Sus scrofa: one gene and its partners. The protein of the gene in region 1 purifies or fractionates together with the protein of each later gene. This does not show direct contact. Links are inferred from orthologs where the notes say so. Each region holds a gene or a part of one and is shown in the gene's direction. Other genes may lie near its edges.

The links.
Region 2: the proteins of RAB6B (region 1) and SLC12A6 purify together in Homo sapiens (affinity purification with mass spectrometry; 4 studies listed by BioGRID and IntAct, with this or other methods). This does not show direct contact. The link is inferred for Sus scrofa from reciprocal best matches to the Homo sapiens genes RAB6B and SLC12A6.
Region 3: the proteins of RAB6B (region 1) and SLC12A4 purify together in Homo sapiens (co-immunoprecipitation; 3 studies listed by BioGRID and IntAct, with this or other methods). This does not show direct contact. The link is inferred for Sus scrofa from reciprocal best matches to the Homo sapiens genes RAB6B and SLC12A4.

What each region holds. Positions count from the first base shown.
Region 1 is NC_010455.5:75,072,493-75,076,871, reverse strand, and holds the start of RAB6B (ras-related protein Rab-6B), read left to right. Parts: upstream 1-1,547; 5' UTR 1,548-1,986; coding exon 1,987-2,056; intron 2,057-4,379. UniProt on the Homo sapiens protein: The small GTPases Rab are key regulators of intracellular membrane trafficking, from the formation of transport vesicles to their fusion with membranes. Rabs cycle between active GTP-bound and inactive GDP-bound states.
Region 2 is NC_010449.5:80,237,725-80,241,371, forward strand, and holds part of SLC12A6 (solute carrier family 12 member 6), read left to right. Parts: intron 1-1,417; coding exon 1,418-1,549; intron 1,550-2,900; coding exon 2,901-3,047; intron 3,048-3,647.
Region 3 is NC_010448.4:28,562,833-28,566,479, reverse strand, and holds part of SLC12A4 (solute carrier family 12 member 4), read left to right. Parts: intron 1-1,123; coding exon 1,124-1,270; intron 1,271-1,355; coding exon 1,356-1,410; intron 1,411-3,581; coding exon 3,582-3,647. UniProt on the Homo sapiens protein: Mediates electroneutral potassium-chloride cotransport when activated by cell swelling. May contribute to cell volume homeostasis in single cells. May be involved in the regulation of basolateral Cl(-) exit in NaCl absorbing epithelia.

The sequences.
Region 1 (4,379 bases):
TCAAAATACCAATGGCACTTTTCACAGAACTATAATAAATTATTTCAAAATTTGTATGGAAACACAAAAAACCCTAAATAGCCAAAACAGTCTTGAGAAAGAAGAACAGAGCTGTAGAAATCATACTCCTTGACTTCAGACTATATCTCAAAGTTAGAGTAATCAGAGCAGTATGGTCCTGCCACAGAAACAAACACATAGATCAATGGAACAGAATAGAGAGCCTAGAAATAAACCCATACACTTATGATCAATTAATCTATGACAAAGTAGGCAAAATTACACAATGGAGAAAAGACAATATCTTCTTAAGTGAAACAGTTGTTCTGATTTGGATTCTTGACATTCATTCAAACATTCAACATGCTAGGTCCTTGGGATTCAGTAGTCGAGCCACAACTGCTACTATCATGGAACTCAATATTGTTAATTAAGTTTTAATAACCATGAAACTCATGGTTTTTAATAAACAGTGAAAGAGAGACTCTGGGTAAACAAACCAGGGATCCAGACAGGGAGACATCCCAGGCAAGCCATGTAAGTCAAAAAAAGGGCAACAAATATCCCCTGGAAATCTCTAGAGATGAAGACTGCTTCTCAATTTTCTCTATGTGTAAAACACACACACACGCACCTTGTTCCCAAATATTTGGATTATAATTCCAAATAAATGTTCATTGAACAGACCTAAAAGAATAGACCACGTGGTGGCAGGGCAGTAAGAGGCAGCTTTGTAAAATCTCAACTAACCAGAATACTAGGACGGGGCTGGGGGTGCTTCTAACTCCTGGCATCCACTCCTAGTTGTCACCCACTCATCAGAAACAAATGATCTGGACAGGTCTTCCTCCTGTCCTCCTGGAAATCATTGTCCTGATACACTTCGTTGCCAGAGCAAGGAGTGGCATTGACAGCCCGGTGACTCCAAGGTCCAAGGGAACCAGGGCATCGTCCTGGAGATGGCCGTCCTGACATTCAGAGCCTCGCTGCTCTTTCTCTACTACGTGGCAGCAGGTTTAGGAAAAAATGATCTTTAGGAGCGGTAGGTTTGAGGTAGGTGCGCTCTTTACTGGCGTCTACTCTTTCGCGGGCCACGTCTGCCCGAACACCCGTGACCCCACAGAGGCCCCCAAGAGGAGGGATCTGGCCCTAGGGAGGGGAGGGAGGGCCGGAGATGCACAAGATGACAGTAAAGCCCGTCTGCGCCCACATGGCCCACCACACCCTGGCTCACCCCCTACTCCCTTTCTTTCGCCCTCTCGATGGCTGCGCTGAGTGCATCGGTGTCGCAGGAGGTGGAAGAAGGGACTAGCATCTAGGTTTAAAAGACCAGAAACAAATGTCCCTTGACAATTTCACGTCATTTTCTGGATTCAAAGGAGCGGTAGAGTAGGGAAGACAAACGTAGTGGGGCAACCAGAGAGGGCCCATTTCGGGGGCCTCACGGACTCACTGCGAGGCGGTTCTCTCACGCCCGGGTGACGGTTCCGGGTAGGTGGGTGGGCGGAGGCCCCCCAGCCCCGCAGCGCCGCGAGCCCCGCATGACATCAGAGGCTGGGGAGCGCGCAGAGCGCAGGCGCGGACAGAGGAGAGAGGCGGGAGGGGGAGCCGACTGGTGCGGCTCGGGAGAGCGCTCCTCCGCCCCGCGCGCCTTCCCTGCGCCCCGGCTCCGCCTGCGCCTCGCTGTCCGCGCAGCGCCTCGGGCGTCCAGAGCGCGCCCCTCGCACCGCATCAAGCGCCGCCCGCGGCAGCCCAGCCCCAGCCTTCTTCCTCCTCCTCCTTTTTCTCCTCCTCCTCCTCCTCCGCCGCCGGACACGCAGCCGCAGGCCGGGGCCGGGACGCAGCTGGGGAGACAGGGACGCGCGCAGCCAGCCCTTCCCCCTCCGGCTCCCGCACCGCCGGCCGCCTCCCCTCGCCCTCCTCCTCTCCCCTCCCTGCTCCTTCGCTTCTCCTCCTCTTCCTCTCCTAGCCCAGACTGCCAGCACCATGTCCGCAGGGGGAGATTTTGGGAACCCACTGAGAAAATTCAAGTTGGTGTTCCTAGGGGAGCAGAGCGGTAAGTGCCCTGCTTATTCTCTTGGCTTGGCGCCCAGTCGACCCCCGCCGCCAAATCATCCACCCTACTGGGACCCCGGCCCCGGCTGGGAAAGGGCCCTCCATGCCGGGGTGGAGGCAAGGGATGGGGATGGGGAAGTCCTGGCCGGCTCGGGTGGGGCCGGGCAGAGGAGGGAACTAGGGTAAGGACCGAGGAGGCGCTGGGCCAGAGATGGGGGCGAGGATGGGATCTGAGGTGGGGGCTTGGGGTGCGGATGCAGGTGCGGCGCGGCGGGGAGGCGGGAGGGCGGCGGCTCGCTCGGCGGCGCCGGCCGAGGCGTGAAGGCTCCGGGCTCGCTGGCTCGCTCGCACTGCGGCACCGGCTGCGGGCGACGGCGCAGGTGGCGGGGCGCCGGCGAGGGGCGCGGGGAGGACGGGCGCCCCTCTTTGGAGAACGAGACTGGGCTGGCGTCTGCCCTCTCCCCACCCCGCGGCACCAGAGGGGTTCCCTGAGGCCTTTGCCCTGCAACGGTAATTACGGGCACGTCCAGGCCCGGGGGCAGACCGCTGCAGGGGAAAGACGGATACTGTCTCTTCTGGAAAGAGCGGATGCAGGTGGTGGGGGAACAGGGCGCCTACCTCCCCTGGCTTACGTCCGACTGGGCACAGAAGGTTCTAGACCCGCTGCCCTTCGCCAGTGTGTGTTAGACCCTTTGGGGCTCAGGGATTTGGGCGATGACAGCAAGGGTCCCCAGTGCGAGGCAGATTTGCCGGATGGTAAGGGGGGCGCCTCTCACCTAGAGCTGTGAAGCCCAGTGCCGGGCAAAGAAAGGACCAGACGACACGCCCTGCCTGGCTTCCCAGCACCCCTCCCCAGAGCGTTGGTGGCGGCTCCTTCCCACCCCCACCTCCCAGCTCACCGCCCTTCTTGGGGGAGGGGAGGTCACCGTGGCAGCGGGCCAGGGGCTGGGGGAGGGGGAGACAAACAGCTTCCGTGCTGCCCAGTAGCCTCCCAGGGGAGAGCATCTCTGAAACCCAGGTTAGTCCCAAGGTGGGAAGATCTGATTGAGGAGCCTGGAGCCTCTGACACTTGTAGAAGGAGTGGTTCTTAGAGCATCCCTGCAAAGGCCTTTCACCTGGAGCTGCAGGGAAACAAACTGGGCCCTGACCAGCTCTGCTCTGGGAGAAGCTGTCCTGGGGGCAGAACCCCCAGCTCTACCAGTCGCGTTCACCTGGTTTGATGCCTGTCAGCACAATGGGCCAAGACACACACAACCTTGGGAGGACCTGGTGGGCTCTGGGAACAGCGCTACTGTGATGGGTGAACATGAGGGTTGTTGAGGTCACATGGCAGTCTCCTGCCTGGTGCTGCTCATTACTCGGAATGGAGGGATGATCAGAGAAGGGTGTAAGAAAGTGGTCAAGCTCTGACATGGATTTGGGGGCCAGGCTGGGCATTTCAGAACAATCTCAACTCAACCAGCCAGCTCTGTGTCCTGGACTCTGTGTTTCTGATCTTTACAGTAGATTCCAGTTTCTAACTTTTCTTTGTGTCTAAAGGGATTTGCGGGGAAGGGTGGTCTTCGCATCCAATTTAGTTTTACTGGGCCTGGAGCCCTGGGAGTTGAATTCTTAGCTGTGTTCCCATGAGCGAATTTCCAGGTCTCTCTGAATCTTAGATATGTCTCTGTAAGATGGTTGCCTGAGGGTAGTTCTCTTACCCGTTCATGTTTCCCTAATGCCTCTGGACTGTGGGAGATTCTCAACAAACACTCGTTTATTCCAAGAACATGCTTCAGTTGATGAGAACAATGTCTCTGGTGTGTTTGAAGGAAGAATCCCTGATGGGCTGAGACCCCTTCTGAGCACTACAAACCCCCTTTGCACCTAAAAATCACAGAAATGAGAGCTGAAGGCTTCAGAGCATGAGCCACACCTCCCAGCATGTTTATATGGGATGTTTGACCCCAGGAATGGGCTGTGGACCCAGGGTCCTATGGTGAGTTGTGAAAACTTCAGGGACTGAAACCCCTGTCTCCTGTTCCCAGTCACTAAAATGTCATTGGGAAATAAGGTGACCTTGAATTGAGGAAGCCAAGCTTTGGGGAGCTTTCTGAAGAGGGGTGAGGGTTGTCGTTATCGGGCCAGGCTTGTGGCTGGGCTGGGTGACCTGGTGGGGATGCCAGGCTTGTTGGTTGAGAGCATGGTTTCTGGGCCCTTGAACATGGTCATTAGGGAAAAGGCACTGCTATCAGTGAGACTGGCTATTAGCCACTCTGGTTCCTTCTGGCAGGGAACCCTAGGGTCCTGAAAAGTCTCCTCCCACTTTGTTGTGTCATTAGTGG
Region 2 (3,647 bases), on another chromosome or scaffold:
CCACCCCATTTAGTTTTAAAACATTGTAGGTTGGATTCCTTAATAACTAGCTGTTAAAGTATAGTGCTTATTATAGCTTGTCATTGTAGTTGATTTAATCTATATAATTATTGTTGATTAATAGATAATCATTTAATCAAATTTCCATGGAGTAAAGAGGAGAAATGTTGACATCACAGGCATATGGAGAACTTTGTTATCTAACTCAGCTAGGATTTAAATGTTTATATTGGAAAAATCTACTAAGTATAAAGCATTTTTCAACTCTGTGTTTGGGATGACTGTCATTTATCTTACTAACCCAAAGTCAGAGTAGGAAGCAGGCTGCTGGATTTTTTTTTTTTTTTCCTTGGTCTTTTTAGGGCCGAACCTGAGGCATATGGAGGTTCTCAGGCTAGGGGTCCAGTTGGAGCTGTGGCCACTGGCCTACATCATAGCCACAGCAATGCGGGATCCAAGCCACGTCTGCTGCAGCTCACAGCAACACCGGGTTCTTAATCCACTGAGCAAGGCCAGGGATCAGACCCACATTCTCATGGATAGTAGTCGGGTTCATTAAGTGCCAAGCCATGATGGGAACTCCAGGCTGCTGGATTCAGAGGACTTGCTAATGCCTTATCTGACTAAGACAGCATGAACTCTGATATTCTGTGGCCAGGTTGAAAGGAGCCTAGTTTAGTTCAGCACTGCCTTTGTCTTACTTTGGACAATGACTCAAGTGCCACTTTTCTCAGTGTACCTATTTTTTAAATGTTATTTTATCTGCCTTCAAGAAAAGGTCTGAGGTGAATATTTGATTCAATCACAAGTTTTCTTTTGATCTGTGCATGCTTGGTACCATGAATAATTGCTATAAATATTAGTAGACTGTTAGTATCACTGTGCTTAAAGATTATGTTATCGGTGTTCTTTATAAGGACTACAACTATCTGTAGGAGCCCATGTAGTTTTGCTTTTATGGTAAAGTTAAGCTATTAGGAATAATAAAGCTTTTCATTTGAGAATTTTATAAGGGAGTTCCTGCTGTGGTGCATTGGGTTAAGGATCTGACTGCAGCAGCTCAAGTCACCAAGGAGGCATGGGTCTGATACCTGGCCAGGGACAGTGGGTTAAAGGGGCCAGTGTTACCTGAGCTGCAGGGTAGGTGGCAGCTGTGGCTCGGCTTCAGTCCTTGGCCTGGGAACTTCCATATGCCATGGATGTAGTCCAAAAAAAAAAAAGTGTTTCATAAGTATTTGTGTAGCCCTGATTATGTATTATAATATGTGGGGCAAACAGTCTCATCAATAAATTTTCTTAAAATGTTTACCTATGAAATTTTTCTCATTTACTTTGTAACTTTCTGGTAGAGGGATCATTTTTATGCTTATGTACAGTGTCTTCATCATGTATTTCATTCGTATTTCTGGCTTTATAGGAAGAAATGGACACCAGGCCAAAAGTGTCTTCTCTCCTCAACCGGTTGGCCAATTATACTAACCTGACACAAGGAGCAAAAGAACATGAAGAGGCAGAGAACATCACTGAAGGGAAAAAGAAGGCCACCAAGGTGAGGCCTTAGAATAACAAAGATAAATAAAAGGAGCCCAATATTATAATAAAGGAGATATCCAGGCCATCACTCTATGTGCAAGAATGCTTGATATGTGCCAGGCCCGAGAGGTAGTGAGCCATGTAAAACAGTTGGGGGGCAGTGTTCCAGGGAGATGGAATATCACACCAGAAGAAAAGTATCTCACCCAGCATTGCCTCCTGGTGCAGTGGGTTAAGGATCCAGTGTTGTTACTGCTGTGGTACGGGTTTGGTCCCTGGCCCACGGACTTCCACATACTATGGGTACAGACAAAAAAATGAGAAAAGAAAATTGGCCATATCCATCCACTGACGCCATGTCTCTATGGTGAAGTTGTTGGGCTTTTTAAGACCAAATACCAGTTTCTCTCAACATGAAAATATGGGATAGTATTACAAGTTAGTTTTCTGGTTGTTCAGGAGTAAAGTGACACTCAGATCTTCATTTTTTATCAATTACATTTACCACCTGCTATGAAAGATTTATGCCAAATTCTAACAGAATTCCATCAAGTCATTATTCCATTTAAAAAAAAGAACAGAAAGAGCCATTGGCTTTGAAGAGAAAAAATTTTAAATTATTGAAGATGCACTTAAAAGTTTGTTTGTGGCACAGTTGGATCAGTGGCGTCTTGGGAGTCCCGGGACACAGGCTTGATCCCTGGACTGGCACAGTGGATCAAGGATCCAGCATTGCTGCAGCTGCAGTTTGGATCTGATCCCTGGCCTGGGAACTCCATATGCAGTGGGGCAGCCAAAAAAAAGAAAAAAAAAAAGTTTGTGATCAAATGTCTGTGTAAAAATATGTGGAGACTTATGTAAAATAAAAATGTGTGTCTGGAGTTCCCGTCGTGGCGCAGGGGTTAATGAATCTGACTAGGAACCATGAGGTTGCTGGTTCGGTCCCTGCCCATGCTCAGTGGGTTAACGATCTGGCGTTGCCGTGAGCTGTGGTGTAGGTTGCAGACACGGCTCGGATCCCACATTGCTGTGGCTCTGGCGTAGGCCAGTGGCTACAGCTTTGATTCGACCCCTAGCCTTGGAACCTCCATATGCCTCGGGAGCGGCCCAAGAAATAGCAAAAAGACAAAAAAAAAAAAAAAATGTGTGTCTCTAGGAATAATAAAGGGTATAGTGATAGAAATTTGTTAAGATGGAGATTTTATATGTGCCTGTTTAAAGATAGTGCTTAAATTTATCTCTACTTTGCAATTCATATGCAGTTCATAGTTAGGGTGCAAGTTTTTATATAAAAATAAAGGGATAAAAGCATCACTTCTAGATGATGACTATATGATTTTTTCTTTCATCAACATCTTTCTTTCTAGACCCCCCAAATGGGTACCTTCATGGGTGTCTACCTCCCATGTCTACAGAATATTTTTGGAGTGATCCTGTTTCTACGCCTTACATGGGTGGTGGGCACAGCTGGAGTTCTGCAGGCCTTTGCAATTGTCCTTATCTGCTGCTGCTGTGTAAGTCCCAAGTTGGCTCCTGGAGATCACCTGGAACACTGCTCAAGCTCGAGTATCATGCTTGGCCTCTTTGAGAATAAAACAAAGAATACATACTGGGGAAGGACTTGCCATCTCAACAGGAGAGATTATTTTGATATTAAAATCTAAAGGATCTTCAATTACTTAGTGTCAGTTATTTACTGTTTATAATATGATATACTTGAAATTACAAAGAAGGACTTCTATAAGAAGGAGAAGATACAGGTTCTGACTTCCAAAAATTCAGATACAAACTATTTGAGCTTGATAATACCAATGTTGTGACAGAAAATGTGTTAGAAAACATGATATGCTTACTCCAGTATAGTGAAGATTAACAAAACTGATTGTTGTTTGGAAATGAGAGGTATTTGTTTTGTTTTGAAGTCTCATCCATTGTCCTTTCCCCAGAAATTTGGGTATTGTTTCCAGATCTTCTCTTCACTACACTGAGAACATTCTGAACTTCCTTTAATTTAAACTTCTCTTATCTGTGTATCCCAGCCACATCTCTCAATTTTATTGTAAGTTGATTATTATAAATTTTTTAATTTCATTATTCAGCTGTCTACTGACCTT
Region 3 (3,647 bases), on another chromosome or scaffold:
TGTGGTCATGAGCCATTCGAGTGAACAGTTACCATGACCTGTTCATGATCACTATGATGGAGGGTATATCAGGTGCTAAGGAGATGCAGGAGGAAGTACCAACTCCACCTAAGGCAACCTGGTGAAGTCAACAGTTAAGTCTCCTGAAGGTTTAACTGAAGAGAAATTTGCCAGGAGTGCAGCAGGAGTCACCCTTCGAGGCAGAGCCCAGCACATGCCCTGGTTCAGAAGCTTTGAGGGACTGATGCTGTCAGGGGCTGAGGCTGACAAAGGTAATGGGGCATGCCTGGTGGCTCAAGCCAAGGCAGAGACCTGCTCTGGCAGTAGAGTGGGCTGGGGTTTGGAAGGATTGACAGACACAAGAAGGCACCACCTAGGTGCCCTGGTGTAACGCCCAGGTTCAAGGGACCAAGGCTGAGGGAACGCAGGTGGATCTGAGGGCAGCTTGAGAGGCAGATTAGACAGGACTCAGTGTCTGCTGGACTGGAATAGGGGCTTGGAGAGAGGGAGGATCAGGAACAACTTCTTGGACTCTGGTTTGGGCGATGCAGGGCTGCTGCATGAGAAGGTGAGGATAAGACAGACCTTACTTTCCAGAAGTTTAACAAAGGAGAGGAAGGGGAGGGTGCGTTGCTGTGGCTGTGGTGTGGCTGATTGGACCCCTAGCCTGGGAACCTCCATATGATGCAGATGCAGTCCTAAAAAGCAAAAAAAAAAAAAAAAAAAAAAAAGGATTAGGTTTTGTACCTTCCCAGTCCTGAGCTGTTTCTTCATGTATCAAAGTCAGCACAGGGAGTTCAGTTGTGGCAGAATGAGTTAAGAATCCAGCATTGTCATTACATTGGCTCTGGTTGCTGCTGTGGTGCAGGTTCAGTCCCCAGCCCAGGAACTTCCACATGTCGCTGGTGTGGCTGGAAAAAAAAAAGTCAACACAGATATCCTGTCACATCCCCACCCCATGCTCCCCAGGACTACACTTGGGATGTCCCTCTCCATCCTGTTCTCTGGTAGAAGGCCCTGGGGGTAGGGGACTGCTGAGTGACTGGGGGCCAACCTTCCATGGGGCCTCTGGGCCCCTCTGACGCTCTGTGTCTCCCCGCTCCCCTCCTCACTCGCTCCATAGGCGCCCAGCATGGGCACCCTCATGGGGGTGTACCTGCCCTGCCTGCAGAATATCTTTGGGGTCATCCTCTTCCTGCGGCTGACCTGGATGGTGGGCACGGCTGGGGTGCTGCAGGCCCTCCTCATTGTGCTCATCTGCTGCTGCTGTGTGAGTATCCCAGCTGGGACAGGGCTGTGGCCACCCCACAGCGCTGGCCCAGCTGAGCTGCTCATCTCTGCTCTCCTTCCCACAGACCTTGCTGACAGCCATCTCCATGAGCGCCATCGCCACCAACGGGGTGGTTCCAGGTGGGTGAGCACCACTCAGGCCTGAGGTGGGGATGGGCCCAGCATCCATCTTGTTATCCCCAGGAACCCTCATCACCCCCCTCAGACAGTGTTTAGTTCTTGACTCCATGACAGTCCCATGACTTAGGAGCATCTTTGCTTAACGGAGTTTGAGATTGCTGTTGTTTTGTTTGTTTGTTTTTTAATATAAAAGTAATTTTTTAAAGAGGGACTTGGGGAGTTCTCTCATGGCACAGAAAGTTAAAGATCTGGCATTGTCACTGCTGTGGTTCGGGTTGATGATGTGGTGCAGGTTGCTGCTGTGGTGTGGGTTATCCCTGGCCTGGGAGCCTCCACGTGCCATAGGCAACAGGGCCCAAGCCAAGGACTCTGGACCACACTCGATTACATGGTAGACAGTTCAGAAGGTTTCGACCCGGGTGATAAGATTGGACTCGGTTTTCAGAGACCCCATTTATTTATTCACTCAACCTTGTATTTATATGAGTATGAACTCCTGAATATTTATTTTATTCTTTCATTCATAATCTAGTACTATCATTTATTTTATTGCTTGAACGGTTCCACTTTGGCTATTTGGCTATTCAAGTTGGCTCCATGTTTGAATACTTTTTCTTTTTTTCAAATTACAGTTTTATTAGTATTAGTATAAAATTATAGGGGGTAAAGGCAGTATATGTTTACCATAAGAGGATTTGAAAGTGCAGAAAAATGCAGAAAAGAAAATTGGAAGTACCCCTAATCCCACCATCCTGTGTTCATAACTTTTAGCCTTTTGGTACATGGTCTTGTCAAGTTCTTGAGACCTATTGTTTTCCCCTGTGTGTGTGTTTCCCAAATACTAAAACAGTTCACTTGATTTTTTATTTTATTTTTGTCTGTGCCCACAGCGTATGGACGTTCCCAGGCCAGGGACTGAACTCACTTCACAGCAGCAACCCAAGCTACAGCAGTGACAATGCCTAATCCTTAACCCACTGTGCCAAAAGAGAATTCTAGAATTTTACTTGATTTTTTAAAACAGGATTGATATTACCTAATTTATGAGATTATTCTACTCTTAGGTTCTATATTTTTACTTTGGTAAACATTATTGTGGTAAACAGCCTTGGATACCAATCTGTGTTCATGCCTCCCTTAGGAGAGGGTCCTAGAGATGGGATTACAACATGAAAGGGGTTAGTGCTTTTTTTTTTTTTTTAATTTTTTAATTTATTTATTTTTTAAAATTTTTATTTTTTTGTCTTTTTTGCTATTTCTTGGGCCACTCCCGCGGCATATGGAGGTTCCCAGGCTGGGGGTCTAATCGGAGCTTTAGCCACTGGCCTACGCCAGAGCCACAGCAACGCTGGATCCGGGCCGCATCTGCAACCTACACCACAGCTCACGGCAATGCCGGATCGTTAACCCACTGAGCAAGGGCAGGGATCGAACCCGCAACCTCATGGTTCCTAGTCAGATTCGTTAACCACTGCGCCACCACGGGAACTCCGGGGTTAGTGCTTTTAAAGCTTCTTGATCCCTGTTCCTAGACTTTTCACTAGAGAAAAGAAGTTTTATCAGAAGTAGATTCAACAAGCAACATGGTATCACTCTTATCCTCTGCACCCACTCTGGCCCCAGGGCCCAGTGTTGATTCACATAGTTGTGCCAGGGGTGTTAGACTCTGATGGAAGCACAGCTTCAGGGCAGGAGGATCAGCGTGGACACTTGTCCAGTAGCCAGCTCTGGGAACAAAAAACTAAACAGGATACAGTCCTTGTCCTGGTCTGGAGGAGTCAGACTAACGGACATAGCCCTTGGGAGGGGTGATGCCTGCTGAGATTGGACACACCCAGCCAGGAGGAGGCTGTGGGGACTGACCTAACTGCAGGTCAGTCAGGGAACTGACTTAACAGGCCAGTTAATCTTTGCTGCCGACCTAGAGCTGCCCCAGCAGAGTAGTCATTTCATTGGCCTGTGCTGAGTGTTGGAGTCAGATGGAAATCAGGTCCAACCCCTGCCTGGTCACTTACTAACCATGCAGCCTTAAGCAAGTTTCTTAACCCTTCTGCTCATCTGTAAACAGGAAAAGCAATCCTTGTCCCTTAGGGCAATTGTAAGAGTTTGTCTTGGAGGAGGCCTCTTTGAAGAAGAACCACTCTTGACCTGTTGTACCTTCTCTTTTGTAGCTGGGGGCTCCTATTTCATGATCTCCCGCTCTCTGGGACCAGAATTTGGAGGCGCTGTGGGTCTGT